Rhinolophus ferrumequinum: one gene and its partners. The protein of the gene in region 1 purifies or fractionates together with the protein of each later gene. This does not show direct contact. Links are inferred from orthologs where the notes say so. Each region holds a gene or a part of one and is shown on either strand. Other genes may lie near its edges.

Evidence for each region.
Region 2: the proteins of COP1 (region 1) and STK40 purify together in Homo sapiens (affinity purification with mass spectrometry; 3 studies listed by BioGRID and IntAct, counting the BioPlex papers as one, with this or other methods). This does not show direct contact. The link is inferred for Rhinolophus ferrumequinum from reciprocal best matches to the Homo sapiens genes COP1 and STK40.
Region 3: the proteins of COP1 (region 1) and TRIB2 purify together in Homo sapiens (affinity purification with mass spectrometry; 4 studies listed by BioGRID and IntAct, counting the BioPlex papers as one, with this or other methods). This does not show direct contact. The link is inferred for Rhinolophus ferrumequinum from reciprocal best matches to the Homo sapiens genes COP1 and TRIB2.
Region 4: the proteins of COP1 (region 1) and TRIB3 purify together in Homo sapiens (affinity purification with mass spectrometry; 5 studies listed by BioGRID and IntAct, counting the BioPlex papers as one, with this or other methods). This does not show direct contact. The link is inferred for Rhinolophus ferrumequinum from reciprocal best matches to the Homo sapiens genes COP1 and TRIB3.

What each region holds. Positions count from the first base shown.
Region 1 is NC_046305.1:10,101,386-10,108,893, forward strand, and holds the start of COP1 (E3 ubiquitin-protein ligase COP1), read right to left. Parts: upstream 3,006-7,508; 5' UTR 2,699-3,005; coding exon 2,277-2,698; intron 1-2,276. UniProt on the Homo sapiens protein: E3 ubiquitin-protein ligase that mediates ubiquitination and subsequent proteasomal degradation of target proteins.
Region 2 is NC_046292.1:25,285,420-25,292,929, forward strand, and holds the start of STK40 (serine/threonine-protein kinase 40), read right to left. Parts: upstream 3,003-7,510; 5' UTR 2,822-3,002; intron 1-2,821. UniProt on the Homo sapiens protein: May be a negative regulator of NF-kappa-B and p53-mediated gene transcription.
Region 3 is NC_046296.1:63,869,476-63,876,647, forward strand, and holds the start of TRIB2 (tribbles homolog 2), read right to left. Parts: upstream 3,006-7,172; 5' UTR 1,633-3,005; coding exon 1,363-1,632; intron 1-1,362.
Region 4 is NC_046306.1:23,330,006-23,337,760, forward strand, and holds the start of TRIB3 (tribbles homolog 3), read left to right. Parts: upstream 1-4,735; 5' UTR 4,736-4,956; intron 4,957-7,755. UniProt on the Homo sapiens protein: Inactive protein kinase which acts as a regulator of the integrated stress response (ISR), a process for adaptation to various stress. Inhibits the transcriptional activity of DDIT3/CHOP and is involved in DDIT3/CHOP-dependent cell death during ER stress.

The DNA of each region.
Region 1 (7,508 bases):
TTGGTTCAGTTTGACCTTGAAGCATACAAGACCAGACCAATCACCCAGAGCCAATTAGAAATGAAAAGGATTCCTTGAGCCTTGCCTAATCCATATCCCCCTACTCCAAAAGCTTGGCCAAATCAAATCTAGCTTGAGAATTTGGAAAATAGATTTTCATTAATGAGTTCTTCTGAATATTCAACCTCACCAGAAAAAGAAATGGATTAATGAGATTATTAAAGTGAAATATTCAGAATTTTTAACTAAAGACTCTTACTGGATACTTCCGTATTAGAATATTAAAGAAAACAGAATAATTTAATAAACATGGTTAGGACTCGGGGACTAGATTGTAATTTTAAAAAATTAGGTGGCAGACTAATAAAAATGTAAATAACCTACCCCTCCCCCCCAAAAAAAAAATCAGTGCTAGCTGCTTCCATTCCCCCATCCTTCTTCAATTCCGGATAAAATGGCCTATCAGAAGTACAATAAAACTCATGTGGCGCCTGGCAGACAGAGAGTGCCAAATAAATACCTGCTAAATGAACCACTGATTCCCTTATTTCTCACATCTTTGGCACTATTTTGGTGTACCTATCTGGATGCTGGCATGTTTTCTTTTAGCCTACTGAAACCCGAAATGAAAATGGTGGCTAAAAAAACTGAATCCTGCAAACTCTCATTTTGTTTCATTAGCTTCTACTTTATCATATGGCACTCTCTACTGAGTATGAGCACAAACACCTTAGACCCCACCACGAGCTGCTTATTTTTAAATAACAATCACAATTATAGCCCAGTTTCAATGAAAAATGAATTAATTCTGAATCTAGAATAATTTAAGACCAAAGCAAGCATATGAATAGACATCATTACTGCAAGAACTAGAAACTGTAAGTCTAATCAATAACTTCCCATCGTATTTACCAGTTGATCTTTGAACAGGAGGGCTAGGGGCACCGACCCCCACACCATCAAAAATCCGCTTTTAACTTTCGACTCTACGGATGGCCCTTTGCATAGTGAATTCAACCAATTGCAGATGGAAAATAGTATTATTTCTACCTGAGGTTAGGAATGTGAAAATACTGTCTTTGGTCAGTGATTGGTTGAATCTACAGATGCGAAACCAAGGATACAAGGGCCAATTGTATTTACTGAAAAATACCGATGTATATATAACTGGACCCACACGGTTCAAACCTGTGTTGTTCAAGGGTCAACTGTAATGACAACAAACTCCGATCATCTTTGATCCTGAAGTGAATCAACTTCCCCTATAATGACAGTCGCAAGCCAACTTCCTACACCATTACTATTCTAAATCCACCTACAATTTCCTCCAGGGAAAAGCACAAAATCCTACCAGTTAGCTGGTAAATTTCACTCTGCTAAAAGTAACTTCTTTCTCACAATTCTACTATTTGCCTGGGTTTTGGATACAGAAATCCAGTGAAAATCCAGAAACACTCTCAACAAGACAATCAACTCCATCTTTCACTTAATAGGGCTGACCCCTCCATGACAAATACGTAACTGAATACTACTACGGTGTATCATTCAAGATGTCATTCAAGTCTGGCTGACAAAATGTCAAATATCTCGCCTTCCTCAAATGAGACGTTCCAGTATACTCGAATGTGATACAGAAGTGTAGTGGCTCCATCTGACACACGGATGATATTTAGTAAATGTGGTTCCCTATTTCAAGATACTCAGTTGAGAAGTGCAATTTTTGGTGAACAGCCTTTCTTGACAGATTTCCAAGCGGCCTACCCTTTGAAACAGTAAGAGATCTTTATCCATAGACACACCATGGACACTTACATGAAATACTACTTCTTAAAACATCCATACCCAGGTTTAGTACACCGTCTACCACACTTTCAATCAGCAAAATCTGGCCAACAACTCCATCCCTCAGCATCCCAGGGAGCGTACCCCTCTCCCTTTACAAATCTAATTCACTTGAACAAGCAATCGGACTAACAGGACACCGAATTCACCAGCCAGCCAGAAAATTCAAGGCCTAACTTCCTTGCCCAACTTTTTCCTTTTACGCAGAACCATGTATTTGACTTTCCACCTTGCCCCCTCGTTTCTTAGGCCCTGAACGCTCTTCACTTCCCCCTCACGAGTCCTTACCTCGTGGGTACCCACCCTGCCCGGGGTCTCCAACATTGCTCACCCCACCGAGCAGCAGCTCGAATCGCTCTGCAGACACCGCCCCGACCCACCAGCCCGAACGGCAGAAACTCCGCGACGGGGAGGGGGCTGCTCTTCAAACCCACCATACGAAGTCGTTGCTTTTGTCCTCGTACGAGTTGATGAGCCCGTTGCAGAGAGGGGCGAGCAGAGGTCGCTTCCTGCTGCCGCTGCCGAGGCTGGAACTGCTCCCTCCTCCGCCGGCGCTGGGCCTGGGCGCGCAGCTGAGCCGGGACAGGCCCGCGGACACCACCCCACCGCCGCTCCCTCTGCCGCTGCCGGACACAGCGGGCGCCACCAACACAGGCCGCACCGGGCCCCCGAGGCCGCCGGAGCCCGCGGCCTGGGCTGCCCCGCCGGACCCCAGCGCCGACGCCGAAGCCGCCACCACGGAAGGGGGCGACGGGGAAGAGGATAAGGACGAGGAGGCGGAAGTCACCGAGGAGGCCGCCGAGGAGCCAGGGCTGGTCCCGGCGGAGCCCGACCCGGCCTGGCGGCTACCAGACATCGTGACTCCCTCCCCTCCGGCGGGGCGCTCGGAGGAGAGGGACCGCGACCCGCCGCCGCCGCCTCCCCTGCCTCCGCTCAGTGCATCCTGAGGACGCGCGCCGCGCCGGAGGTGGGGCTGAGGAACAATAAAGTTGATTTTTGTAAGGCGACCACACGACAGCGTCCGACGGGAGGGGGCGGAGGAAACTAATAAAGCCGAGGAGAAACCACTGCCGCTCTTGAGGCCGCCGCCGCCGCGGTACCCTGCCGCAGCCAACCCTGGGGCGCCGAGGCCCGGCGGTGCGCGTGCGCGAGCGGCGGAAGGGGCGGGAACGGCGGGGGATACGACTTGACGGGCGGCCCGGGCGGTTCTCAGACGCGCACGGCGCGCCGTCGGCGACGGCGGCGGCCTGTACCGACGGTAGCCCTCGCCGGGAGCTGTTTTCGTTCGTGACGTACCGGAGGGCAGGCCGTCGTAATGGGTGACAAGACTGCAGCGAGCGGAATGAATGGTCGCGGTGGCCGAGGGCTTGAGGGGGAGGGCTTGCAGAGCGACTGCGCACGCGCGCCCTGAGTTACCCAGGGTGCCCGCTCCTGGCGGAGTTGAGCGGCGCCGGCGCACCACGCATGCGTGCGGGTGAGCCGCATTCCTCAACGTGAAGAGGGAGCGGTTGCCGTTGCCTGAGAGAGAGGCAGGCTGTGCAAACCAGTGGCGAGGGCATGGCAGGTGCTTCCGAGTGGGGGATTGAAGGCTCTGCAGACTGGGACGCATACAAATAACCCAGAAGCTCCGAGCAGTTGGAAAGAGCACTGGACTGAGAGTCAGGGACTCAGGACCATTCCACAGTATTCTGAGGAATACGTTAAGATGAAGTCAGTCGACAGTGCTTTGTAAGTTGAAAACGTTGTAGCAGATGTTACCAATTTTATGGGTTCGACCATGATCCTCTTCTTGTATTTTGAAAAGCGATTTGCCAAATTAAGCCTAACAACAATGGGAAAACAAACGATACTTAATCAGAACACAGCTCAGCCAGAACCTCGGTTTATGTGGATCTGATGTATTCCTAGCACAAAACAAAGAAACCTGGTACTTAATACCACCAGAAAATGTGCAATTTCTGGGAGGCTTTTTGGAATCTTAAAAATTGATTACAGATTGTCATTTGCCTTTTGGAGAATCCCTAAGATTCTTGGGGATGTAAAGGAGAAACAACTGAACTGGGTGATTTTTCGGTATCTCTTTCCAACTCTTAGCATTTTATGTGTCTTGGAGGAAAAGAGCCCAGAATTAATTTTCTTGAGTTTTGAAGACTAGGAACAACCAGGGCCTTTCCCCAGGAATATCTGTCCACGCTGAAGGGGTAGGGCCAGGGAAGGGCCTACATGAAGGCCCAGCAACAAGACAGCCATTCACCTGGGCAGTGAACCATCGTAAGGGTACCACACTCCTCAACTCTGCCTTAGTTGCTCACCCTCCTATTTCCAGCTCAGGTTTCTGCTCAGAATAATAATACAGGAATGGGTTTATCAGATTTCCATGAACCACCCTCCTTGTGTGAACGTTGCATTATCTAATCCCTTGTTTAAATTCATTTCCAAGACCCAACTGAAATGTGAAGCCTTCCTGACTCCTTGTCAGAGATAGTTGCACTCTCATTTGTGCTCCAACGATATTTTGTTTGCACTTATAACATTGTATGTTAGTGGTTTATATATGATTCTCCTCCACCAGCCTATCAGCTTCAGCTTTGTATTCCCAGGAGGTAACACAATACCTGGCCTATGATAGATGCTCATCAAATATTTCTCGACTAACGAATAAAGCAATTGACCTCATTTTTATTTTAATTATTTGCTTAAAGTATGGTTTTCCAATTAAATTGTAAGTTCCATGAAAGACAGAACCGTATTGGTGTTCAGTGGGCATTCAATAATTTTTTTGATGAAAGAATGCGTAAAGTAATGCAAAGAATTTGATGAATATCTGTTGAACATTTGCTACCCATAGGCCTGGATTAGGCAAAGAAGAGATGAAGAAGTATATAAAATGTTCCTACATTCAGGAAATTTATGGAATAGTTGACGAATTAGAAAAATACATAAAAAAGTAAGTAATGTCTCCAAGGAGCACATGTGAAATGCTTAATGAGTAGAGAATCGCCATAGGAGCTAAAGCAAGAGCAAGTGCTGAGGACCAGCCATGTTGGTGTGGGTAAATGTTAGACCTTAAGAAAGGAAAGTATGGCTTGGTCAATCAGGAAGTGTAATTAAAGTCATGAACCCAGAAAATAAAAAGGTGAAAGTATTTTCATCAAGTTCAGATACCTATTTGATAGGGGTAAAGAGTTTATTCAGGAAAAATTCATTTGGGGGGCAAATTGTAAAGAGTCTTGAATTCACTTTGGAAAATAGCCTATAAGCCATTGGAAACAATGAAGGCATTTATTGGGGGTAAAATATATTCAGTGTCATTTTGAAGTTTAAGTTTTCAGCAGATTAATCTTTCAGAAGAAGTGGGAGATGAGGAGCAAAGAGACTAATTAGGAAAAAATTATAGCAGCCCAAGCATAAGTGATGAGATTCTAGATTAGAGAGCTGATGAGGAAAGTAAGGGGATATTTTGAGGAAAAAATCACAACAGAGTCTATAGAAGTAAGTTACGCTCTAAAAGAATCTTGACAATTCTTGAGGGCCTGACCCATGTCTGTCTTGTTCCTCACTGTCTTGCCCAGTACTTTGTGGGCATAAATGCTGACAAATTGATTAAGTAAAAGTGATGGAACACAAAGAGGAGTGACTCCAGGGATAATAGCAGGATGACAGAATTGGAGACAGCCAGTGGATGATTTAGTTTGGGATGTGTTGTGTGAGTGCTTACTTTCAAGTAAGCAGATCCAGGTGGTGATTGAAAATTCAGGCTAAGGCTAAGGGGAAAGTTCAGCACATGAGAGAAATAAAGCTACAGGTGTCTGAGCTCTACCTCCAGAGATCCCTTGTTTAAATTCATTTGACTCTATAGGTCTGACTCTATAGGTCTGAGGTAGGGCCTATGAATATGCGTTCTTACCAGCACCCAGGTGAATCTGATGCAGGTGACTAACCCTTTGAGAAATACGTGATTGATACTGTAGGTAATGTAAGAGAAATACGTAAAGTAGTCTCTTCCTTCCAGGTAGCTTATTCAGGAGACAGAAAGGGATATGACTCGTTGAGAAGTCTCTGAGAAAAAAAAAATCATCATGTGCTTAAAGTGATAGGACCACTTTAGAACCTATCTTTAATAAAATCATCATGTGCTTAAAGTGATAGGACCACTTTAGAACCTATCTTTAATAAAATCATCATGTGCTTAAAGTGATAGGACCACTTTAGAACCTATCTTTAATAAAATCTAAATTTACAAAAGGAAGCTGAGGGGATATGATGCAGTAGAATTTCCCTCTTATATCAGATAAATGTATAAAGACTTCTGAAAGTACACCACCCTTACTAGTTTTTACTGGCAAAATCTTCTGGGGAAGCAGAAAAGAGGAAGCATGACAAAATATACACATGCAAACAGACAAAAGTCAGACAACTCAGAAGAAGTAGCAAATAGGAGAAGGGAAGAAAGCATTAATGAGAAATGAAAGTAAATGTAAAATAACAGCTTAGCCCTAATAATTAAAAGAATTCCATCATGTATTAAATATATTAATCCAGTGAATGATAAACATGACAAGACGAAATCCAGTCTTCCACAAAAACACGGCTACTGAAGTAAAATCTAATAGTTAAGGTGGAATGGAACTACCAAGAGGATTGAACTTCCCAGATATATTGCTAAGGTATCTTATCCAAATATAATTTAGGGAAATAAGGCTGTTGGTCTCATCTCCAGCTAGCCCTGCCCTTTGGTAACCAATCTTCCAAAACGATCCTCCCTAAAAAGCTGTATTTATCTGACTCACCTGAAGGGTTTGCTACCTGTTAGCCCTGTTTGTTGTCTAACCAAATCTCTGAATAGTAGCTTCCTGTTCAGTTTTTGTTTTTAATTTAATGTGTTTGCCCTATTTAAAAAAAAAGGGGGGGGTATGAAATAACCATGGTATTAAAAAGCTAAATTGAGAAGTGTGGGGACAGAGCCCCAAAAAGCAGTTTCCAGGCTCTCGGCCTCACATAGAAAGGTGCTGGCTCAGGTAGTAAATGGCCATTGACTGTGATCAAATGGCCAGCAGCTGTGGCTAGTTGGCCGTCAGCTGTAACCAGTGAGCCATTAGCCATGAATATAACGGCCGTGGCTAGGCTAGCAGCAAAAAAAAGAAAATGGGGGCTAGCAAGAAGATGGTGGCTGAGCCTGCAAGCGGCACAGTGAGGGTTGCAAACAGTGTGGCTCCTGCGTCCTGTTTCTCCAACCCAGCCACCAGCGAGAGTATAGAGATAATGACTCCCCTACTTATGGCTCCGTGGGTGTTCCTTTTTGGCCTCACCATATCCTGCGTTTTTCTGTGGGGAGTGGGACCAGAGACCCCGCCGGACGTCCTGCGTGACACATGCGTAGTCGGCTGGATACCCCACCTGTCACCCTTCAGGCCGCCCTGCGTGACAACTGGTTCAGGGAGCAGAGTCCCTCGCACGACAAGAAGAAAAAGGAGAAAACAATTTTCTGTCAGTTTGAATGGAGAAGAAAGAAATGGAGAAATTTCTTAACCCGATAGCATAATAATGCATCTAGCAGAAAATTAAAGTGAAAAGTTCCAACTTGCACTTTAAAACACAAGGTAGACACCTATAGAGAACTATAATTTCTTAAAGTTATTATTTGAGGACCAGTCTGTTCTCCAAAA
Region 2 (7,510 bases), on another chromosome or scaffold:
ATGTGTGAATCGGTGAGGAGCCTGCCCCATCTGTCCCTGTAGCCTACCTCTCCCTCCGTTCTCCTTCTAATCCCAGCACAGCTCCAGCCACTCGTGTACGGAACTCAAGTTCTGGATTCTGAGCCACTACACACATCAATGCATGGGAGGCTTCCTGATAACACTAATTCAGACACCAGACTAGGGTCATAATAGGGACACACATGGAAGAAACTCTACTTTTGCTCGTACTTTAAAACACTTTTTTTTTCCCCTCAGCAGTCCTACTTCTATTTTAAAAAAATGGTTCTTTTAAAGAGCCGTGCTGAATCATCCAAATGGCTCCCATACAGCCTGGGTAAACTCCCCACTGATTTCCTTTTCAGAAAGAATACAATAAAATTCTTGTGATCCCTCAGGACACTTCTGACAGCTCAATGGGACACAGTTCCAGTTGCCACTAATTGCATCAACTACTTTTTGGAAGTTCTTTCCCGCGGCCTGTAATAACAGCTAACACTTCCAAGCATGTCTCACTCAGTGTGTGCTAAATGCTCAACCTGCCATAGCTTTCTTAATCCTCAGAATTGCCCTACTAGGGAGGGGCTCTGTCACCATTTCATAGATGAGAAAGCTGGGCATGGAGAGAATAAGCAACTTCTAGTGACTAGCAGGGCTGGGATTAGAACCCAGATCTGTCTGACTGCAGTGCCAAATAGGCTGTTAACCACTACAATCTGTTGTTTTCCCAAAAGGTCAAATTAAAGGTACAAGGGAGCAAAGGGAGCACCCCCTACAACTGGCCTTCTGAGAAGGTAACCTTACTTCCCTGGCTGCTCAAGTGACCTGCAAGCTCAGGAAGAGAGGGGCACATGCGCCAGTCACTTCTGTGCTAGGCAGAGAAGCCGAGGGCAATATAGGGAGCTTGTCACCTGCCACCGGTTGCAAAAAGTGCTTTCTCAGCAAAGATCCACCACACTAGCACCACCTCTCTCCTCTCAGAGGCCTGCAATGGCCTCTGAAGAGGTCTCCAGTCTTTTGGTCTCTCCCCTCTTCCTTCCTTCCTCTGTTGAGACTCAAGGGAGATAGTTCTAAAACTAGATCCAACCATGACACTCCAGTGCTTAAAACCTTTTCATTGGCTCCCCATGGCCCTTGGCACAAAGTCCGGAATTGTTAATGTGGCATTCCCTTGTCAACCTATACTGCCTTACTTTGCATTATGTCGACTTTCACACTACCATATTGAACAGGCTGAGGTTTCTAGAATAAACTATGAGTTTACTTGTCTCTAAGTAGAACACCTCGCTCCTTCATTCTCACCTGGCTAAATCTTCCCATCCTTCTAGATGCAGCTCCAGCATAACAGCTTCAGCCAAGCCTTCTCAGGACCCTCCTGCTACCCAGGCTGACCTAGCAGCTCCCTCCACTGGGCTCCCACAGCATTCTGTTCCTGCTGCTATTGGCTTTTTAGACCACATTTCCACTACTTGTTTACAGGTCAGTCTCCCTTAACCGGACCATGAGCTTCTTGAAATAGGAATAATAGCTAATATTTATTGAATGCTTATTATGTGGCAGACATGGTTCTATGTGTTTTACATATGTTAACTTTTTAAATATTTACAACTCTGTTATCAACCTATTTTAGAGATGAGAACACTGAGGCACAGAGGTTAAACAATGTGCCCAAGGTCACACAGCTAGAAAGCTGTGAGCCAGAATTTGAACTCAGGAAGACTGCCTCCAAAGCCCAGTCTTAATCACCATAATATAGGGTACTTGCTTCTCCAGGCAAAGATACTGTTGTTGTCATGTGGGGAACGAATGAATGAATGAATGAATGAGGGCTATCTCCAAACTGTCTAGATCCAACCAGTAAACAACTGGCACAACAGGGCCATTAAAGCGCTGGAGCAGCTCACAAACAGTTTACAAACAAGGATGCTTTTGGCCTTACAATTACATATTCTTCTCTTCCTTATCTCGTGAAAGCTAAGCCAAGAGGGAAATGCGCCCAGCCCAGAGTGACTACCCTCTTCCCCACTGCTCTCAAAACCAAGCAAAGCCAATGGGTTTCCTCCCGTGACTTAAAACAGAGCAAAGTCTATCCTGCCACAGAAGGCGGCTGTCATCTCTTCCTTCCGCCAACAAACCGGCATCAAACCTAGGGAGTGGGGGTGGGCAGAGAACGAGGAGTCGGGAATCCCAAAACCCCAGCCTGGAAGGTGGGGCCAAGTGGCGTGGGAATGGGCGGGCCTGACCCGGCATGGCAGGTGAAACAGTGACCACAGCAACAGGCTCTCTCTCTCCTTGGAAAAGGCCGACCAAATGTAGCACTGGCAAGCAGGTAGCTCTGACCCGCACCCGAACGCCGCCTGGGAAGAGAAATTCCCCAGAAGCGATGGTGCCCGTGCCAACGGGTGAGGGCTCCTGGAGGAAGCCCTGGCTGGCCCTCCCTGGGGACTCGTTCTAACTTTCAAGTCCCTCTCGAGATCAGGAGGGAAGCATGGAGAGACAGAAGGTGTCTCTTGGGAAAAACCTGGCAGGTTCAAACGCCGGTGCCTTCACTTACTGGCCGAGTGATTCCGGGCAAGGTTGGCAGTGTCCACCTCCCAGGGCTTCGGCGAGACCAAGGCTTACCGCGGCCCCGGCGCGCAGCAGCCCCCGCCACCGGGGAACTGCAGACCCCAGAAGAGGAGGGGACATTCGCTGTTGCCACTTCTGTCGCAGCCGGATAGCTTCAGGCTGTCACCCGAGTCCCACCGCCACCGCCGCTGAGGCCCGCCCAGCCAACCCGCACCCCCCGCCCGGCTCCCCACTCCCGGACCCCCGCTCTCACCTTCCCCCGGTGCTCAGCGCTGCTCGCCCATAGTCCGTAGCCCGGAGCCGGGACTGCTCGGCGCTCCGTCCCGGGGGGCCGGGGCCGGGCCGGGGGCGTGGGAGCCGCTCACGGCCGCCTCCCAGCGCAGCCGCCCGAGCCGCCACCGCCGCCGCCGCCTCCCTCCATGGCTGCGGCGCCGCCACCTGACAACGGAAGTGACGCACCGCCCCCTCCTCCGGGCACAAGCCGCAGCCCCGCCCCCGCCCCTGGCCCCGCCCCTCGCCCGAGTCCACAGACCCACGGCGTTGGGATTGGGCACCATCTTGACAACGGGCGGAAGCCTTCAGGCCAGAGGCCAGATTCCAATTGCGGATTGGTTCAAGGTGGGGTCTGGGCCGAGATCTGTGAAACGATTGGAGGCTGAGACTCTAAAGGGGCGGTACTAACTGCTTATCTATGTCTGAGGAAAGGCTGGGCCGGAGGCACCGTCCCCCGCCCCGGCTCCGCGGCACCTCGCGTACCCTGCACACGCCCTGCTGGATTTGGAGAAATCTCCAGCAGTTGGCAGGTCGGCCAGATGTAGTATATTTATCAGAAAAATGGCTCTTCCTTGATCCCCATTTCTCGGTTTCTGGAGTTCTGTGCGTAGAGAGCTGCAGTTAGACTCAATGACAGGAATTCCTGTCGCAGCCCTCACATTTTCCTCTGGGCCCCTCGCTTTTGTAGAAACCCCGCTTCAACTGAAGATCGCTGGAGTCTTGACCAGGGAGGTTTACAGTGAAGAGTTCCTGTTAACTATTCCAGCCACCTAACCTCAGCCCCTCCTGTTGCAGTTTCGGTGCCTTTCTCCTCCTCCTCCAGCAACCACGCCCTCCATGAATCAGCTTCTTGCACCAGCAGATGAGCCCTTTAAAGGGATTGCATCAGGCTGGTGACTCACTGGGGCCCTTTGAGAGCCTGGCTTCCCTCCCCTGCCATGCAGAAGCAGCTAGGAGAGCTTAGTGGCAGCAGCACCAGCGACAATGGCCCCACTCCTTTGTCTCGGGTGTGAGCTGCGGTGCCTGCTGCATATGACTGACACCTCGGGTGTCTTTCCAGCTAGCTATGCCCTGGGTCACCCTGTATCCTTGTGTGGGCACACGTGTCCAAGCCTGGTGCTGGGTTTTTCTAGGGCATGTGGCCAGGCACTTATGTGTATGCGTATTTGTCATCTCCACACAGGCAGTGCCAGGACATGAGAGTTGGTACAAGTGAGAGTCTGGATGCAGCCTCCTGTGTCCATCTCTGTCTCTCTGAATGCTTGGTGTCCTGGGAACTAATAGGGTTAAATAATAATAGTACTAAAACAGCTCCCACTGTTGTGTCACACACCGTATTGAGGAGTTTAGAGACATCAGGTTAGGAGTCTATTTATAGATGAAGAAGCTAGGGCTCTGAGAGGGGAAGTAACCCATCCAAAGACACAGAGCTTATAATGGCAGAGCTGTGATCTGAACCAACTCTGACAGATTCTGAGATGGGTGGATTTGAATTCCTACTGCGTTCCTTACAAGCTGAGTGACTTAGTGTAAGTTCCTTAACCTTCCTTGGCTGTCAAAACAGGGATAACACTTCGTGGGATCACTGTGAGGATTCAGTGAGTGTGGAGGCAATTTCTCATAGGACCTGGTGAGTAAGAGTGCTCCGACTCACCTCAGTTACAGAGCTCTGATGAAGGGGATGACAGAAAGGCAGGCACAAGGAAGCCAGCCACCCCCTCCCCGCCCCCTCCCCAGCTCTCCTCTCTGACAAAGGGAAAAGCCTAGGGATTCCGGAAGCCCTGACTCTGACAGAAATAAGTTTTGGGTTTTCCAGAGTTCTAATTATCAGCTAGATGAATCACTAGGAGCTGACAACACCATCCCCACCCCCAGGAGACTCTCAGCTGATTCAAAACATAGGATTTTAACAAAGGAGAGGAGGAGAAAGAGAAAGAGGGGAGAATAGGTAATGAATAAAAACTAAAGGTGCCAGCCAGAGGAAATGAAACACTGTCATCAAGACACCAACATGAAGCTATTGCGTGTCTCTCTCTCTCTCTCTCTCTCTCTCACACACACACACACACAGTGACATACTCTCCTGCTGGCTCTCCAACTCTGGGCATACTGGCAGATGGCACTGCCATAACAAAGTGACGCCTGTCACAACAGCATGAGATGGTTGCTTGACGAGATATAGGCAGGCCTGCCCAACACAGGAGGAGGTCTTCAACCCCAAAGAGCTTCCTCAGGCTTCTGAAACCCAGCAAATCCTTGTTATTGGCGGACTTCTGGCTTCTCTTTGTGGCCAAGCCCCACGCCTGTGTATGGCAAATTTTGAGTGCCAGGCCCCCACCTGGTGATTGGGTACCACCATCGAGATGAGCAGGGCACTGTGTCGTCATGTGGTGTCAGGAGTGCGAGCAAGCAGAATAGTATAGTGTAGTATCATGGAATTTGGGTCATACAGACCTGAGTTCTTATCCCCACTCTGCTGTTCACTGGCTCTTCAACCTTGAGCAAGTCACTTCACCTTTCTGGGTCTGTTTGCTCATCTGTAAAATGGGGCTACTAATATATACCATTGTAACAATGATGAAACGAGATGATTCTTTCATTCCACAAAGATTTATGGAGTGCCTGCTATGTGCAGAGCACTGGGCTAGATGCTGGAGATCCAGTGGGACCAAACAGGCGACAGCTGTGTCCTCCTGGAGCACCTAGGGCCCTGGCACAGGGCCTGGCACGCAATGAGGTTCAGCAAGTGATAGCTACTTATGATGACCATCTTGGCATTCTGCCAATAAGTTAAACACGGGACCTGAGAAGACCCCTTTCCCCGTCTCCCTGAGGAAATGGCCTGTTTCCTCAACTGTAAAAAGGCAGAGTTGTACTGGATCAGTGGTTCCCAACCATCTCACCGTCAAAGCTTCTTTTAGCATTTTCCCTCCACACGAGCCTCACATTCAGTAAGATTTTGTCTCTCATACAACTTGCATCAAGTCATTTTCCCCTTTTTATTGATCACAGCCTCGTATTATAGCCATTAGAGCTTGCTCAGAAAGAGCAAGCCAAGGTGACCACCATTCTGCTGGTATAATTACAGCCCAAAGCAGAGACCAAGCCAGCTTGGTTACCCTCCAATACTATGTGCTGTTTCTCTGGGTCCTTCTGGAACATTGATAAGAACTCAAGGGACCCCTACTGCCCTCAGGGATCTTTCAGGCAGGGATACCAGACTGGAACTCACTGAACTGGATGTTCTCCTTCAAGTCCCTTCATGTCCTAACCAGCTGAGAGCTGGAGATGCTGTGTCACTTGTATGGCCCCCAGGGAGACAGGACCTTCAAGCTGCATGCCCACCCAGCTCTCCTCGGAGCCCTGACAGTCCCCCTCCTACAAATCAGAGACAGAGACCCCTGTACTCTTCTCTCCAGAAACAGGAAGGGAAAGAGGGGACATGCCATACCACCCGAGCCGTCAGAATTCCTGAGGGCTCAGTCATCACCTAGGACCTCCACATTGCTTTATGTCTGGGCTTGAATAAAGGCCACACCACGAGTAGCACAAAACCCAAACTCCAATGGGGTGATGACATTGGCAATGCTTTTTGTTTTTAAATCTCTTCCTTGGTGGCTCTTGACCTTTCCTTTATGCAGATAGCTAGGTTACTCTGCATTCCTTCTGTCAGGAAATAAATGATACAACAGAATGCAGAGTTCATTTTTAGCTTCTGAATTCCAAAGGCCTAGGCTTCAGAGAGGAATGGAAAGAATTTCTGAGCAGATACAAATTTAGAAAACTGTGACATGGGGATCTGGGAGACTGACTTGGGGGTGGTCCCTGAGAAGAAAGAAGCTTCTTCTCAGCCTGTTAGCTGGAGGGTATCAGCTGGGTCTCAGAGAGTGGAAAACAGGAAGAGTTGTGCTTCTTTTTCCTGGGGGAACGCCAAGAAGTAACAAAACCCTCTGAAGAAACAGCTGTGTGCTGCATTTGGGCAAACAGGGCCTAACTAACCCAAGACCCTAAGAATTTGGGCCTGACTGGCCTGGGAAAAGTAGAACAAAAATCTGAACACTGAGAGGCGTATGGGTTACACTTGAAGGGGAGGTCAGGCGGTCTTTGGTCAGAGAGCAGCAACTCAGCAGCAACCCGAGTGGGCTGATGACAAAACACCAGAACAAAACCCTCGTGGACTTGTGCAACCTGAGCAGATAGATGACAAAATGCCAGAACAAAATGAGGACATTTCAGTGGATGCTATTGTGACTGAATGACCACCAGATTAGACTACCCTTCCCATGCTTTGGTGCCTTGAAAGGAAAACCCTAGAATTCGACCAATTCCAAGGAAAGTGGGGGTAACTTTGAATGGACTGCAATTAAGTTTCTGACACTTGGCTGAGTGAGGCAAAACATGAATTCACTTGAGTTAGAGAAAATTCAAGTTATATTTCTTACACACCAGAATTGGAACCAGCTACACTCCTTACCCCCAAGGTCTTTGTATCATTTGCCCCACCCCTCTCCCATTTCTTCTGCCTCAGTAACGGCAATGGTATTGTTATTGCCCCAAACTCCCAAGCTTTCCCACCTCAGGACCTTTGCACTAGCAGTTTCCTCTGCTCTCCTTTGGCTCTTTAAATGCCAGGCTCCTTCTCCGTTTAAATTTAAATGAATAATGCAGA
Region 3 (7,172 bases), on another chromosome or scaffold:
GCTCTGAACAGCCTACTGCATTTTGGTTAACCAGGCACAGTTGGTCTGGGTGTCAATAACTTGGAGAAGATGCAAAATGCCAAATGCTCACTACAAGCAGAGTAATATTTAAAAGAGTCTCTTATTTTCCCCCAAGGTCTGAACTGAACAATTGCAAAACTGACTACAGACCTCCACAAAACCCATGTTTTACAATGAAATACTCCAGTGCCCTACCAAATAAATTCCACAAAGCAGTCTGTGGTTAATGGTAAAAGTGTCACACATTATTTGTAGCAAAGCTGTGCTGAGTGCCCATTTCAAAGACAGCAGGGGTCCCCACTACTCACGACCCCCCCCATTACATTCCCCCAGGAAAAAACAACAGTGAGGAAAATCTAAAATTAAGTGACAATGAATTCTTGATCTATGTCCAATTCCTGGGTAGCTGGTAGGCTCTACTGTCTTCTCTTTTTTTGCAACTATTCCCGTGCTAACCCGCTTGTCTGGAGCCCCGTGGGTGCCTACAAAGACACACAGACACACATACAGCAACCAGTCACTCTTTAGGGTCAAAGACAAAAAGGAAATTGCAGTGTCCAGATCTGGGGCTCCAAATCGGACACGCAAAGGTATATGTGGGGTCGGGGAGTGAGGGAGGACGAAGGGGATTCAAGCACGGAAGTCTGGGGATGAGAAGAAACCGAGACATGAAAGACCCAAAGGAGTCACTATTTCCTACACCCCAAGGTGCGCAGGCGGCTTTGATTTCCACCCCCCAACCCTCCTTTCAAAGATCCAGGCACAAGAAAGCTCTTTGTAAACTCTTACCCCGCGCTGGGCCCCTGGGCTCAGCCAGAAGGGACACCTTTGTGTGTCCTTTTAAAGGGCACCTTCGGAACAAAGGTTTAACACCTGCACGCAGCTAAGAACAATGGCTGCAAAAGGAACCAAGTCATCAGTGCCTTAAAATTAGCGGGGGATTCCCTGCTCCATGTTGGAAGGGGAGGGGGCTAGACACCGAGAGAAATCCCCTGGTCAGTGGAACCTGGCCTCGCGCGGAGGAGCTCCCCGAGATCCTGGGAGCACGCGTGTCTGTGGCCCCCGCGCGGCTCCGCCGCCCTCCCCGCCCCCGGCTCTCCCCAAAACAGCCCCGCCACAGCCCGCCCCATTGTCTGCAACGCTCTAAAAACTTCACAGCTAGTCGCACATGAACAAAATAAATAAATATATCTATTTAACGAGGCCACGGATTATTATCCCGCGAATCTCCCTCGCCCAGACTCCAGGGCTCCGCGACCTCCCGCACCATCCAGCCCCTTCCACACCGCCGGGAAATCTTTTTAAAAGACAAAAAGCAAAAGCAAACCCCGGGCTCTTTACCTTGCACACCAGCTCCTCTCCACTGTGCAGATGCACTGCACGAAAAACGTGGTCTCCCTCCAGAGGTTCCAACAATAAGTATTTCCCGATGCAAGAAACGCAATGCGACAAGTTCGGAGTCTCCGGCGGGCTCGGGGAGCCGAGGTTCGGGCTGAAACTCTGGCTGGGCTCCGCGGACCTTATAGACGACAACTCTTCGAAATCCTGGGTTTTGTTCCGCGATCTCCCATATCTTGCAATTGTGATGGGGGTAGACCTGTGTATGTTCATGAGTGTGGGATCGCACACGACAAACAAAAAAAACCCTCTGGAGGGATGAGTCGCTGGCGAGTGCGGCTGCAGGCGCCTCCGTGCCACGGATTTTAAAAGGGGACGCGAGGGGAAGGAACGAGAAGAGGGCTACGTAGAGAAAGAGTTAGAACCCCCCAAAGGGCGCCGCGGGGCACCTGGTCTGCTCCGAGCCCGGCTCCCAGGGGCACTCGGTCGGCAGCAGCTCGGGTCCTTTTGTTACCCCAAAGCAGCCAGCGATATGCACAATCTCCGCACTTTTAGTTTCTCTCTCTCCCTCTCTTCCCAACGTGGATGTAGACGAGGAACTGGATTGCTAAGGTGGGAGCTGCAGCGCCGGGTCCCCCGGAGCAATCCCCACGCAGGCTTCCGACTCGCAGACGAGGCGGTGGAGCCCTGCTCTAGTTGGTGCAATCTTCGCCGAGCGCACGGCTGCGGATTGCTCTCCGCGCGTTAGAAACCCAACAAAAAGAAAAAGGAAATCAGCACGGGTCTACCGGCTCGCGCCGCTCGGCAGACGGAATCCGCGCTGCACCCCCTTTTTTGGTGGAAAGGGTGGGGGGCGTGGAAGGGGGGGTGCCGGAGAGGGTAGTTACCTACGATTTAACTGTAGATGGCGTCTGAGGCTTTTCCAAGATCGCAAGAGCTCTCCCAAAATTAAACAAACAGACAAAAAAATAGCAAGGGAGCATTTAACTTAGAGCGGTCAACGCTGCCAACAAAAGATTGCAAAAGCTGGGTGCAGAGTAGTGGCGCGGGCCATGCGCAGGTACCGCGACAAAGCCCAGGGCTCGGCGGGCCGGGCGGAGGTCAGCACAGGCTCATGCTGTCGCCAGCCGCTCGCTCGCGCTCCTGGTCGTCCTCCGAATACTGGGAGAAGTGCGGGCAGGGACCGGGGCAGATCAGTGCTCTCCGATTTCCCCAGCCCGAGCGTCCAGGGATCCTCCGGGCGCTGGTAGGGGATGCGCCCCCAGCCCTGCTCACTCGCCGCGCTCCTTTCCCGCTGGGTACCTGGATCTTGCCTCGGAAAAATTTGCAACCACTCGGTCTCCCCCTACCCTACACCCGACTGCCTGGCCGGGTAGGTTTTGGAGGAAATTGAGGGCTTTTCTTCTTCTTTTATTTGTTTCTTCCCCCCTCGGAGGTAAGAGGAATGTGTATTTAAAATTGAAGGGGACGGCCGACGGTGCCCGAGGCCAATCCCCGAGCTCAGCACGCCCGCATCTCCCGGCGAGGCGGTATTAATAGTTACTTACGTGGCCGGGGATCTCGGAGCGAGCGGGGCCGGGTGTGCGCGTGTGTGCGCGCGCGCGCCTCGCTCGCGCTCGGTCTCCCCATTCAATGTCACCGACACATTTCCACGGAGCCTCCGCCCCCCCACCCCGCCACCCCCACCCCCCCCAGCCTCCGCGGCACCGGCGACTGGCTCAACTCGGAGCCGGCCCCGCCCCGCCCCCGCCCGGGCCCCCCTCATTGAGCCGGGCGCCCATCAATCAGCCTCGCGGCTGCCAGTCCGCGGGCGGCTCCCCTCGCCCGCCGGCGGCGCCGGCGGCTGCCACTGCCATTGCAGCTCCCGGGCCGGGGCGCGGGCGCTGGCCTAGCCGCTCGAGGCCTGGGCTCTGTAAACAAAGTGCAATATCCTTCCGCGGCCCGGGGCTAGGGAGTGAGCGCACTGGCCTCGGAAAAGGAGGGTGGAGTGGCGCGGGAACTGCCCCCCGGTCTCCCCCTAGCCAGCAGTTCCTGCAGTGCCTGGTGTACTTTTTCACACCTGGTTCATCTTCCCGGCGCCTTTTCCCAGAAATCTAGGCACCCCCTGAGCATCATGCTCCTCAGAGGGTGCGCGAGCAAAGAGCTCTTCTCTGGTGAACAATGTGTTGGTATCAGTGCTGAATGGGGTTTCAAAAATTAGTTTCATCATCTTTTTCCAACATCTTCCAAATTTTAAAACATTGACTGCTTTTAGTTGGTGTCACCCTCCTCCTGCCCCGCTCCCTCCGGGCTTGGATTATTTTCAGCAGACCAGCTGAAGTCACCGTTTGACTCGGACCAAATTTAATCACTCACTCTTCCCCTTCCAGGACAGTGCCCAGAGGGCCTTCCTTGGTGGCTGAGTGACAACAAACCTCTGCACCCACACCTCACACCAGGGCTCCTGGTTCCTAACCCGAGTGCTGGGCTGCATGGATCCTCTTCTCTTAGCGCACCCCCACTCCTACACCTACATGGATCGCAAATGAATTCAACATTGAGAGTCATGTAGGGTTGATGTTTCCCGCCTCCCACCCCACCCCCTTTTATTCTCCCCAGTCCTCTGGTCTGGGCAGAAACACAACAGGAAAGGTGCCTGGACTCAGGCAGAGGCATGAGACTCCAGGCCTTAATGTATCCTGGTAAATCAGAATCAATCTGGTTGGGGAACAAACTAACTAACTAACTAACTAACTAACTAACTAACTAAAATAAATAAATAAATAAATAAATAAATGAAGCAAGCCAAGGGACCGCGAAAGGGGAGTTTAGAAGACTCCGGGAGCCCTCTGAGCTTTTACATGCATTTATACATATTTTCCAGTGGGGGAGAGAAAGGGGACCATATAATTTATTGCCCACAGTAGGACACTTTTGACTGAAAAGGAGAGCTAGTTCCAAATATGCCCACTCCTGCATAATTTATAATTATACACAACCAAGTTACTGTAGCGATAAGGAGTTCCTGGGAAGTTGGCCAGAGAGGACACTACAGCAGGCTGCCACAGGACCAGAGTTTGAAAAGAAGGTCAAAAAGTGTGGCCCCATGCCTCCTGGCACATCTCATCATCCTGCTCCTCACAAACCTGCCTAGGACTCAGTCATCTGTTCCCCGGGCTATCACTGTGGCTGCCAAGCAGGGACCCTGAATCCTGTCTTGTTCCAGGTACACACTTATGTGCTCCTGTTTGTCTCAGGAACAAAGGCAGCCTCTGCTGGTGGTTCAGGAAGAAAGGCCCAGGCTTCTTCAGTGACCACCAATGATGCTTTACAACTAGGGGCTGGGAGACCCTTGTTCCAACCCTGCCTGGATCCCTGAATTCAAATGAAAATTGACTCAAGACATTTTTTTTTTTCCTCCCTGGGTCCCCATTTCTTCAGCTATAAAATAAGAAGTATAACACCAGCCTTGCTCAGCTCTCGTGATTGCTTTAGAATTGTATTTTCAATTCCAGGAAATCTATGAAGGCTTACTATAAACCCAGCTCTGTGCTGGGTGTTAAGGACCCAAGTATGATTAGCTTTGATCTCTGCCACCCCGGAGCTCAGAGTGTAGCCCCAGAGGAAAACATGAAATACATAATCTCATTGTGTAACAATGTGGCAATTAGAATTTCAAGGCATCAAGGAAGCAGAGAGGAGAAATAACTTTTCCTGGCCTTCAGGAAGTTTTCCCAGAAAACGTTACTTTTTTTACCTTGAATTAATCCAGAGCAAATATTTACTGAAACCTACTATGCACCAGACACTGGGTATAGAGATAGAATGATTTAAAAAATATATTTGTCTTTGTGGTTCTTGACAAAGTTCTGAGTCATAGAATAACATGAATAAGAGATTGTCGTTGGCATTTCAGGCAGAGAAAGAATGTGCAAAAGCAAAGGAGTGGGAGGTTCTGAAATTTCTAGTAACTCACCATGGCTCCACTGTTGGCGACTTGGGAGCAGCGGTGAGGCCTGTGGCTGGCAAAGCGTGTTGGAATTAGAATAGAAAGGGGCTGATAGACCAGTCCCTGGTCTTAGCAGCAAAGGAGAAGTAGAGTGAAGGCTGATGGTTGGATTGGGGTTTTAAAAAGGTCACGCTGGAGGTCATCTGGAGTAAATACCAGTGGGCTTCTAAAGGAAGAAAGAGCACTGTAGACTGGAAAGATCAAAAAAATTATAAACTTACGGTGATGTGTAACTGATGCTATACCTGATTGAAAAGTATTTATTACTTCTGACGAAATTATACAGTAGCCACTGACCTGCCCATTCTCAAAGGTCAAATGTATAACCTTTGGAAGCTATTGCAGTACAGAATGGATTAAATAATTCATAACAAGTGCCTTAAACATTTTTATACATATTGATATAACTCTCAGGTTGAAAAAAAAATAAAAAAACACATGTTGTAGGACTATCTGGGTGGGAACCTTCATTCATTCCCTTTTTAGCTATATGACCTTAGGTGAATTTAGAATATCTTAATTATAAAGTAGAATTAAGATATTCTGAATTTTACCTAACACATCACAGTTATGGAAGATGTATAAAGCAAGAGCACAATGTCTTGCATATTATAAATAAATACTTTTTATTACTATTATTTTTATTATTGCTATTATTATTGGAATACATCCACAGAAAGCAATCTACCATATAATAAGAATAATAATAAGTTACAAAATTCTAACAGTCTCAATAAAATGTATGGGAATTGTTAAACACACTGTTGTAAGAATGGTTAACTACACTATGTAACAATGATAAAATATTATGTGGCAATTAAAACAAGAATTATATAATTACAGGAAACAGTTAAACCAGTCCTCTCTATTGGACAGTCAAATGCAGTTGCTTTAGGTCACTAGCGGGCTGTGTATGCTTTCCAGATCATTCTATCTTGAAATATATTTAGCTGTGCCTTCATCTACTTCATTTCTCATAAGTTTATTAATTTAGCAAACATCACAGTAGGTACCTACTAAATGTAAATCTCTAAGCTAAGCTCTGTGTTTCTTGAGCAAATAAATGGTTTTTGAGAACAATTTCTAAGACGACTGTATCACTTCAGGCTGATATGGACCACAAGTGATGACATTCATCTTTCTCAAACAACTCTACAGTAAGTCATACCTAGTCTTAAAAATCGGCGACAAACTTCCAGGATAAACATAGAGAATGCTGACCCATGCTGATATGCAGGCTGTGGACCACACAACTCCAGACTGTTTCATTCCCATTGAGGTCTCTGTGCGTGGCACCCCTGGACTTGTGCAAAACGCAATCTTCTTGGCCACACGTGGAACCTTGAGCTTAGACAAATTGGGCTGGAGGGAACCTCCCAGCCACTTCACCTCCACTCGTCTCGGTTACACACCCACCAGCTTCTCATCATTTTGTGGACTCCAGTCCCCACCTCTATGCCCACTGAGAGTCCTCCCATAATAGTAATTTCTTTTCTCAATCTGTTTTAAACAGTTCGCGTTTGGAAAGCAGTTGTTTATTTACAAGGTGATTCCTAGGGGCACCTATTAAAGGGTACCTGTTTGTTTGATTTACCATGGCTGGACAGGAGTTGTGTTTTTCTGTTTGTTTATTTGTTTGTTTTGTTTTTTAACAAATGGCCCAGTCCACTGGGAAAAGTCCAGTATATAAATACAGAAGAAATTGCCATGTTGGACCCATTTTTTCCCAGGCCTTGGTTTTGTAGCATTTTTTGTCATATAGGGAAATAGTTGTTGAGTGCTTACAAGTGAAGTGAATACAGGAGACATTTTCTTGTTGCCCTTA
Region 4 (7,755 bases), on another chromosome or scaffold:
AACATTAAATGCCAGGAAAGCAAAAACACTATTCTTGAATTCTAGTTAGAACCTGTTTCTTGCTGAAGGCTCTGAGCTGAGCCCTGCTCTCTCTTCCTTAACAAGTGAAGTGTTAAAGACACAGAAGCTGTTAAATGAGATTTTCTTCCCCAGTAATTGGAGGAACAGGAAGAAAACAAAAAAGAAATACATGTATCATGATATGATTCAATGTTATGTAATAGAGTCTGGAGACCTAAAACTATCTGGCATCTACCACTGCTGTACATATCATATTTTGGAAAGCACTGAGCTAATCCAAATCTTTCTTCCTATTTTACAGATAAGAAAACTAAGGCTCCAAAAGAGGAGGTGACTTGCCCACGATCTCACAAGGTCTGTGGCTTCAGCCAGACCTAGAGTCTAACCGGAAATCTTTCCAAGGCATTGTTTCCCTTTCGTGGGGAGAACATACAGAGATGAAAGGTTTAAGGGCACCAATCGTAGAATTTGAGACATGTAGCAATCACTAGTGACACCTGGGTGGAATGGCAGGAGGCAGGTGTGGCTCCTGTCGTGGCTCCCATCATAGCAGTCCACAGACTCCCACCTCCTCTCCTCTGTTGGGGCACAGTCCTCTGAGCATTGGACTTAGACACACAGTGACTTTGACAAGAGCAGTTTCCCTAGGGAAGGGCGAGCAGGTAGAATTGTGATTGGAATGGATTTAAGAGAGAAGAGGAATTAAATTCCCTGAGGGCCAGAGACTGGGCTCATCAGAACTACAGCAATAGTAATGCAGCCTGCTTGGCTCAGACACCTGGGTGGAGGATGTTTTGAGCCTGGAGAGAAGGGATGTCATAAAAATAACTCTCTCTCCAGGAAAGTGCACTTTTTTGCATTTAATTTTGGGGGTCTGGCAACCATTTATTTTCTCACTTTTAAAAAATGCTTACATAGCATTTATATTCCAGGCACCTCACAAATATCGTCATTTAATCCTCATGACAAACCAATGCAATAGGTACTATTATTATCCCCATTTTGCAGATAAGGAAACTGAGACACAGAGAGCTTAAATAACTTACACAAAATTTCACCTTGGAATTGGTAAGATTTGAACCCAGGAAATGTGGTTTGACTATGACACTAGGCTGCCTCAATGCATTTAACCCTTAAGACTGCAATGCAAGAAAAGTATGATTAATCCCATTTTATAGATGCAGGAAATAGATGCAGGAACTGAGGCTGAAGGCTATTTGGCATCTACGTTGTGGACCGGACAGACTCTTCACTTCTTTGTTGTACTCCCTGGACCATGTGTCAGGAATTCTTGGTCAAGGGTTGTGCTATTCAATATGGCCACATGTGTGGCTACTGAGCATTTATTTATTTAAGATTTTATTGGGGAAGTGGAACAGGACTTTATTGGGGAACAGTGTGTGCTTCCAGGATTTTTTCCAAGTCAAGTTGTTTTCCTTTCAGTCATAGTTGTGGAGGGCACAGCTCAGCCCCAGGTCCAGTTGCCGCTGTTAGTTGCAGGGGGTGCAGTCCACCATCCCTTGCGGGAGTCGAACTGGCAACCGTGTGGTTGAGAGGACGGGCTCCAACCAACTGAGCCATCTGGGAGCTCAGCAGCAGCTCAGCTCAAGGTGCCGTGTTCAATCTTAGTTGCAGGGGGCAGAGCCCACCATGCCTTGTGGGAGTCGAGGAGTCCAATGGGCAACCTTGTGGTTGAGAGCCCACTGGCCCATGTGGGAATTGAACCGGCAGCCTTCGGCATTAGGAGCACGGAGCTCCAACCACCTGGGCCACCGGGCCGGCTCGCTACTGAGCATTTAGAATGTGGTTACTGTGACCAAGGAACTGAATTTTTCATTTTATTGAATTTTAATTTTAAGACAGGTCAGGTAACATATTTTTTCCATTAAATACAGCTTAAGTTTTTTAGTAGGACTACATTTTACTTTAACCATTACTTTAACAATTTAGCTTCCATGCTGATTTGTGTCCAAATTAAGTGTAATATATACACACCAGATTTTGAAGACATTAGTATGAAAATATTTTAGATGAACTCATTAATAATTTTTATTATCTGTGAAATGATAATATGCTAGATACATTGGTTTAAATAGAATATATTATCAAAATTAATTCCACCTGTTTCTTTTTATTCTTCTTTAGTGCATGACTAGAAAATTTGAAACTACATATGTGGCTTATGTTATATTCTATTGGAAAGTGCTGGTCTAGAGAATTGGGATGTGACACCCCCAGCTGTGACAAGGGCCTCAAACTTGGGGCCGAGGCCCAGGGTGTGGTTCCAGAGAACATACCTACAAGTGAGGGTGGAGGCTGCTGGTTTGCAAAGATTGTGAAATGTCCCTGGCCAGTGTGGACACTGGGGTCAGCGGCCCCAAGTTCAAATCCAAATCTACCTCATACAATGAGCTGGGTGGTCTTGGGTAAGTCCCTCACCTTGACTCATTTATAGAATGTAGGTGACAGTGCCCATCTCACCAGTGCCTCAGAATCTCTGTGCTTACTTTTTCCTCTTTCCCCCTCACATCTTTGCACTAGTCACCCCTATTCTTCCTTAAGATCCTACTTTAAGCATCACCTTCCTGATGAGACTTACTGAAAACAGCCATCCCTCAGTCATCTCTGATACAGAAAAATCTACCCTATTTTATTCAAGAAAATAAATGACACTTATAATCTATTTTCAATGATCGTGGTTTATTGATTTTATTTTATTGATAATGGCCTGTCTCCCCATTGATTTATACAATCCATGAGGACAGCGATGGGTCAGTCTTGTTTCCGATGAGTCGTGACAGGCATGGGTCTGACACCCGAAACAAAGTTAGGAATGTGTGAGCCAACCCAGCGCAGTGCCAGCTTCATAAAGGTGCTCAGAAGACAACCATCCCTACCTTTCTTTACCCCTAACAGCTATGGGAACTTCTGACCTGAGTCTAGATGTCCTGGTGTAGAAAATGAGTTCATTTATCCCTCCCAGGCAGGGGAGTCTCCAGGGTTAAATGAAATCCCAGAATCCCCTAGTGTGCCCTGAAGGATCTGAGACACTAGTGAGCTGGTCCCTATGGTTCTGGAACTAGGGAAACAAAGGTGACTCCAACCGCCTCCCATCCAACCTCTGCCTGAGCAGTTATTTTTTTGACATCTTTTTTTTTAACATTTGTTTTTATTAGTTTCAGGTGCACAAAACAATGTAATAGACATTTATCATTTATAGCCCTCACACAGTGACAACCCCCCACCCCCCATCCACTACCCCTCTGACATCGCACACAGCCATTACATTTCCACTGTCACTATTCCTCATGCTGTACTCCGCTTCTTGTAACTATATATGTATATAGTTGTAGTTGACATTCATTATTGTTCAGCTTCAGCTTCAGGTGTACAGTGCAGTGATCAGGCATGTACGTCATCCCTGAGGTGGTCTCCCTAATGAGAGTCCATTGAAATGCCCATCGGTAGATGACTGGATTAAGAAACTGTGGTACATTTATACAATGGCGTATTACGCAGCCATAAAGAAGAATGAAATCTTACCATTTGCAACAATATGGATGAACCTAGAGAACATTGTGTTAAGTGAAATAAGTCAGAGAAAGACAAATACCACATGATCTCACTTATATGTGGAATATAAAGAAAAGAATAAATGAACTAATCAGAAATAGTCTCAGAGACAGAGGAAAAACTGAGGGTTGACATCATATTTTTCCAGACATCAAGACCTAGAAAGGATTTCCACTGAAAAGTGTAGATCCCCGGGGCTGCACAGGGATGCTTTACCAAATAGCAAGTGCCACCAGGGCCTGCCAGGCCTGGGGTGCAAGTCCCGTGATAGGCATCTTCCCCTCGCTGAGCCTCCATTTTGTATACTCTTTTTATTGAGCACCTATGATGTGCCACACACTGTTCTAAGCATTTTACTAACTTCTTTTATCCAAACAACGACTCTATGAAGTGAATGCTGTGCTATTATAAGCCCATTTTATAGTGGAGGACACTGAAGCAGGGTTTTAGGTAGCATTCCTGAGGTAGCACAGTGGCCTGGGCAGAGGTGGGGTGCACTCTTAGGCAGGCTGTTTCTAGGGTGCCTGCTCTTAACCACTACTAATGGTTGCACTGCCTTTATCAAATGAATGCTGTGAAGTTCACCTTACCTCAGGCCTTCCCAGGGCACCACACTGGCTCTTTTGAGCCAGGAATCAGCTCCTATAAATCTGTGGTTTTTGTAAAGCTCCTGGGCTGCTTTCCCATAGCTGGGCCTCAGGCAGTTCCTTAGTAGAATGGGGAGACTAGAGCTTCCTGCCTGCCAAAGCTTCTCTAAAGGTTTAAAAAGCAATGGTGGAAAGGTAGCCAGGAGGCTGTAATGGTTTGCTTTTTTTATTTCTCTTCAGCACCATCCTGAGAAGCAAGGATGTTTTTCCCATTTCACAGATGGGGAAACCAAGGCTCAGAAAAGCAAAATGCTTTTTCCAAGATGATAGGGAGAGTCAGTGGCTGGTGTCTACACTCAAACTTCGGGCGCGGGGCGGAAGGGGAGTGGGGTGGAGACGAGACACCCTTCGAGGGCGGGAGAGGCGAGGGGTGCCCCGGCCCCGCCCGGGAACCTAACCGGAGGGACGGGGCGGAGCGCGTTGGGAGGGGCGGAGCGCAGGGGATGGTGCAATCCCCGGCCGGAGCGCCTCAGGCGGCTGCTGATTAGCTCAGGTTTACATCACCCGGGCCAGAACCGTCGCCTGGCGCCAGGCGTCCAAGAGACACTCGCCGCGGAAGCCGCGGCGGCTCCGCACGCTTCGGGCTGCGGGGGGTCGAGGCCAGAGCTCCGCCAGATCCCAAGCTCAGCAGCAGCGGAGCAGGTCCCAGTCCACCAGGGGTGCCCAGGCGACTCTGAACTTAGGGGTCCGCAGGACACCGCCGCACCAGGGCAAGGTACCCGGCTGGGAGCCAGGGGCAGGAAGGTTGGAGGGGCGGGTAGGTTGGAGGGGCGACCGGCGGAGGGTGGCCGGCGAGCTTCGGGATGGCTCCGGGCTGCCGCGTGTTACACACACCCCTTTGAACAAACCTGGCCGTCCGGGGGCGATCTGGGCCGAATGTTCCTGCCGGGTCTCAGGTGACGCAGCCCCTCAGGCCTTGGGGTCGCCCAAGTGAGGCCGACACCCGCTAGGGCGAGGGAGCACACCCCGGGGGTGTTAGCTGTGTCCCGGGGGCGGAGGGAGCCAGGACGGAGGTGTCCGTGTGTGGGTCCGAGAGAGGTGTGCGGTTGTCTGTGTTTTGGGTGAGTGTGGGTCAGGGGAGTCGTGTGGTTTGGTGGGGGAGGAGTGTGTGTGAGGGACTGCATTGGAGGACTGGAGGACTGTATGTACAGTCTCTGTCACTGTGGGGGGGTATCCGCGGGAGTCCGCGGGAGCCTGTGGGGTCTGGGTGGGGATGTGTTTCGGGACTCTGTGTTTCCGCGGACGGTGAGAGTTGCGGGGAGGGCAGAGCACCTGGTGGCAGGTGTTGGCTGTGTAGGGGGTACGGGCGGGGTAGGGCAGGGGTTTCCTGGAGGCGGAGGACCCGTGCAGGTCAAGTGGGACCACGGAGGCAGCGGGCGGATGCGGGACCCTGCTGCGCGCCGGTCCTGGGCCGCAGGTGTGTACCTACCGGTTTGCACGTTGCACTGTGCGCACGTGTGTTTCGATCCAGCAGACGGCGTGTGTTGTACCTGGAGACTTGGGGAGGGGAGGCGAGGGCCCAGCCCCGCTCCTGCCCCCTGCCCTTGGGCCCAGCCTCCCTCTCTCTGTCTCACCCCCTCCTGATTCCCCACCGCACCTCGGTTTCCGCTGAATCTTCTGCCCGAGACACCCGCTGCCGCCTCTTCCGCTCCCAAGGGAGGAGCCTGGCTGCGGGAGGCCGGCGAGGCAGCCGACTGCCTTAGGCCCAGTGAATGTGTGTGTATTGGGCGAGGGCGGGGAGGGGGCGTGTCAGACTGTGCGTGTGACCCTGTTGCTATCAGTCCTGCTATCGTGAGTGTGATGGTTGGGAGAGCTGTGTGTGTGTGCGTGCACGCTTGCCCGTGGAGGGAGAGGTAAGTGTGTATCACTTGATGTGTGTGCCTGTGTCTACCCTGGATGTATGTGTCTCTGCTGGCTGGCTTGGACAAAGTGTGTTTTTGAGGGGTGTGTGTACACCTGTCTCCCCTGTTGTGTGAGTGTGTATTTAGTACGACCTGCCCCTTTTCCCATGGGGTTGTCAGGGACCAGTAAGAGGTAGATATTAGGGGCTGCCTCCATCCTACAGTGGAGATCCTGCAGTGTGGCCTGCAAAGTCCCATGTTCATCTATAGATTCAGATACCCCTGTTCAATGGTGTGGGGCATCCCAGGCCCCACCAGGCTCTGAGGTACAGTAGGGCCAAAGCAGCCTGGAGTGCTGTACAACCACCAGAAAGCCACTCCAGGGAGTCTCTGCTTCACAGGGCACAAAGCATCTACACAGCCAGGGGTCATTTTGCTTGACTCAGAACAGCCAGTGAGGTCATCCTAGCCTCATCCCTGGGGAGATTTCTGAGTCTCCATATGGTAGCACTTGAGCATCTTCAGCTAATAATAATAATATTAATAATAATAATAATAAATAATAATGGAACAGCAGTAGTGACCATTTCCTGACTCCTATCCTGTAACAAGGCCATGCTACTTTATTTCTGTTTTAATTTCTTCACCACAAAAATCCTATGGGCATTACTAGACATATGAAAAGATGCTCAAAGTCACTAATCATCAGAGAAATGCAAATTAAAACCACAATGAGATATCACCTCACACCTGTCAGAATGGCCATCATCAATAAATCAACAGAAAATGGTGTTGGCAAGGATGTGGAGAAAGGGAACCCTCATGCACTGTTGGTGAGATTGCAACTTGGTGCAGCCACTATGGAAAATTGTATGGAGGTTCCTCAAAAAATTAAAAACAGAACTACCTTATAATCTAGCAATTCAGTTACTGGATATCTGTCTGAAGAAATCCAAAACACTACTTCAAAAAGATATATGCATCCCTATGTTCTTTGCAGCATTATTTACAATAACCAAGATATGGAGGCAACCTAAGTGTCCATCAATAGACGGACTGGATAAAGAAGATGTGGTACATATATATAATACTTGTACAATGGAGTATTACTTGGATATAAAAAATGAAATTTTACCATTTGCAATAACATGGATGGACCCAGAGGATATTATGCTAAGTGAAAGAAGTCAGATAGAGAAGACAAATATATGATTTCACTTTTATGTGGAATTTAAAAAAAAAACAACACAACAGACATACAAAATAGAAACCAACTCCTAGATACAGAGAACACACTGATGGTTGCCAGATGGGAGTGGGTTTTGGGGGCTGAGTTCCATGTATGGATGAAATACAATCTATGTAACCAGACCCCTAATGATGGATGTTCAGTTATTTCTATTACATGGGCTGCAAGAATAACCTTGTACTGGTATTATTACATCAGTATGTAGAGAGCTTCCCGGTCCTTTTTCAGAACTGTATAGTGTTCTACTGCATGGCTGTACCATAATGTTTTAACCAGCCTCCAACTGCTGGACATTGAGGGTGTTTCTTGCCTTTTGCTATTTAGACACAAGGTTCTGATCTAATTTTTTGGTGAGCATTATTTTTTTTTTAAGATTTTATTGGGGAAGGGGATCAGGACTGTATTGGGGAACAGTGTATACTTC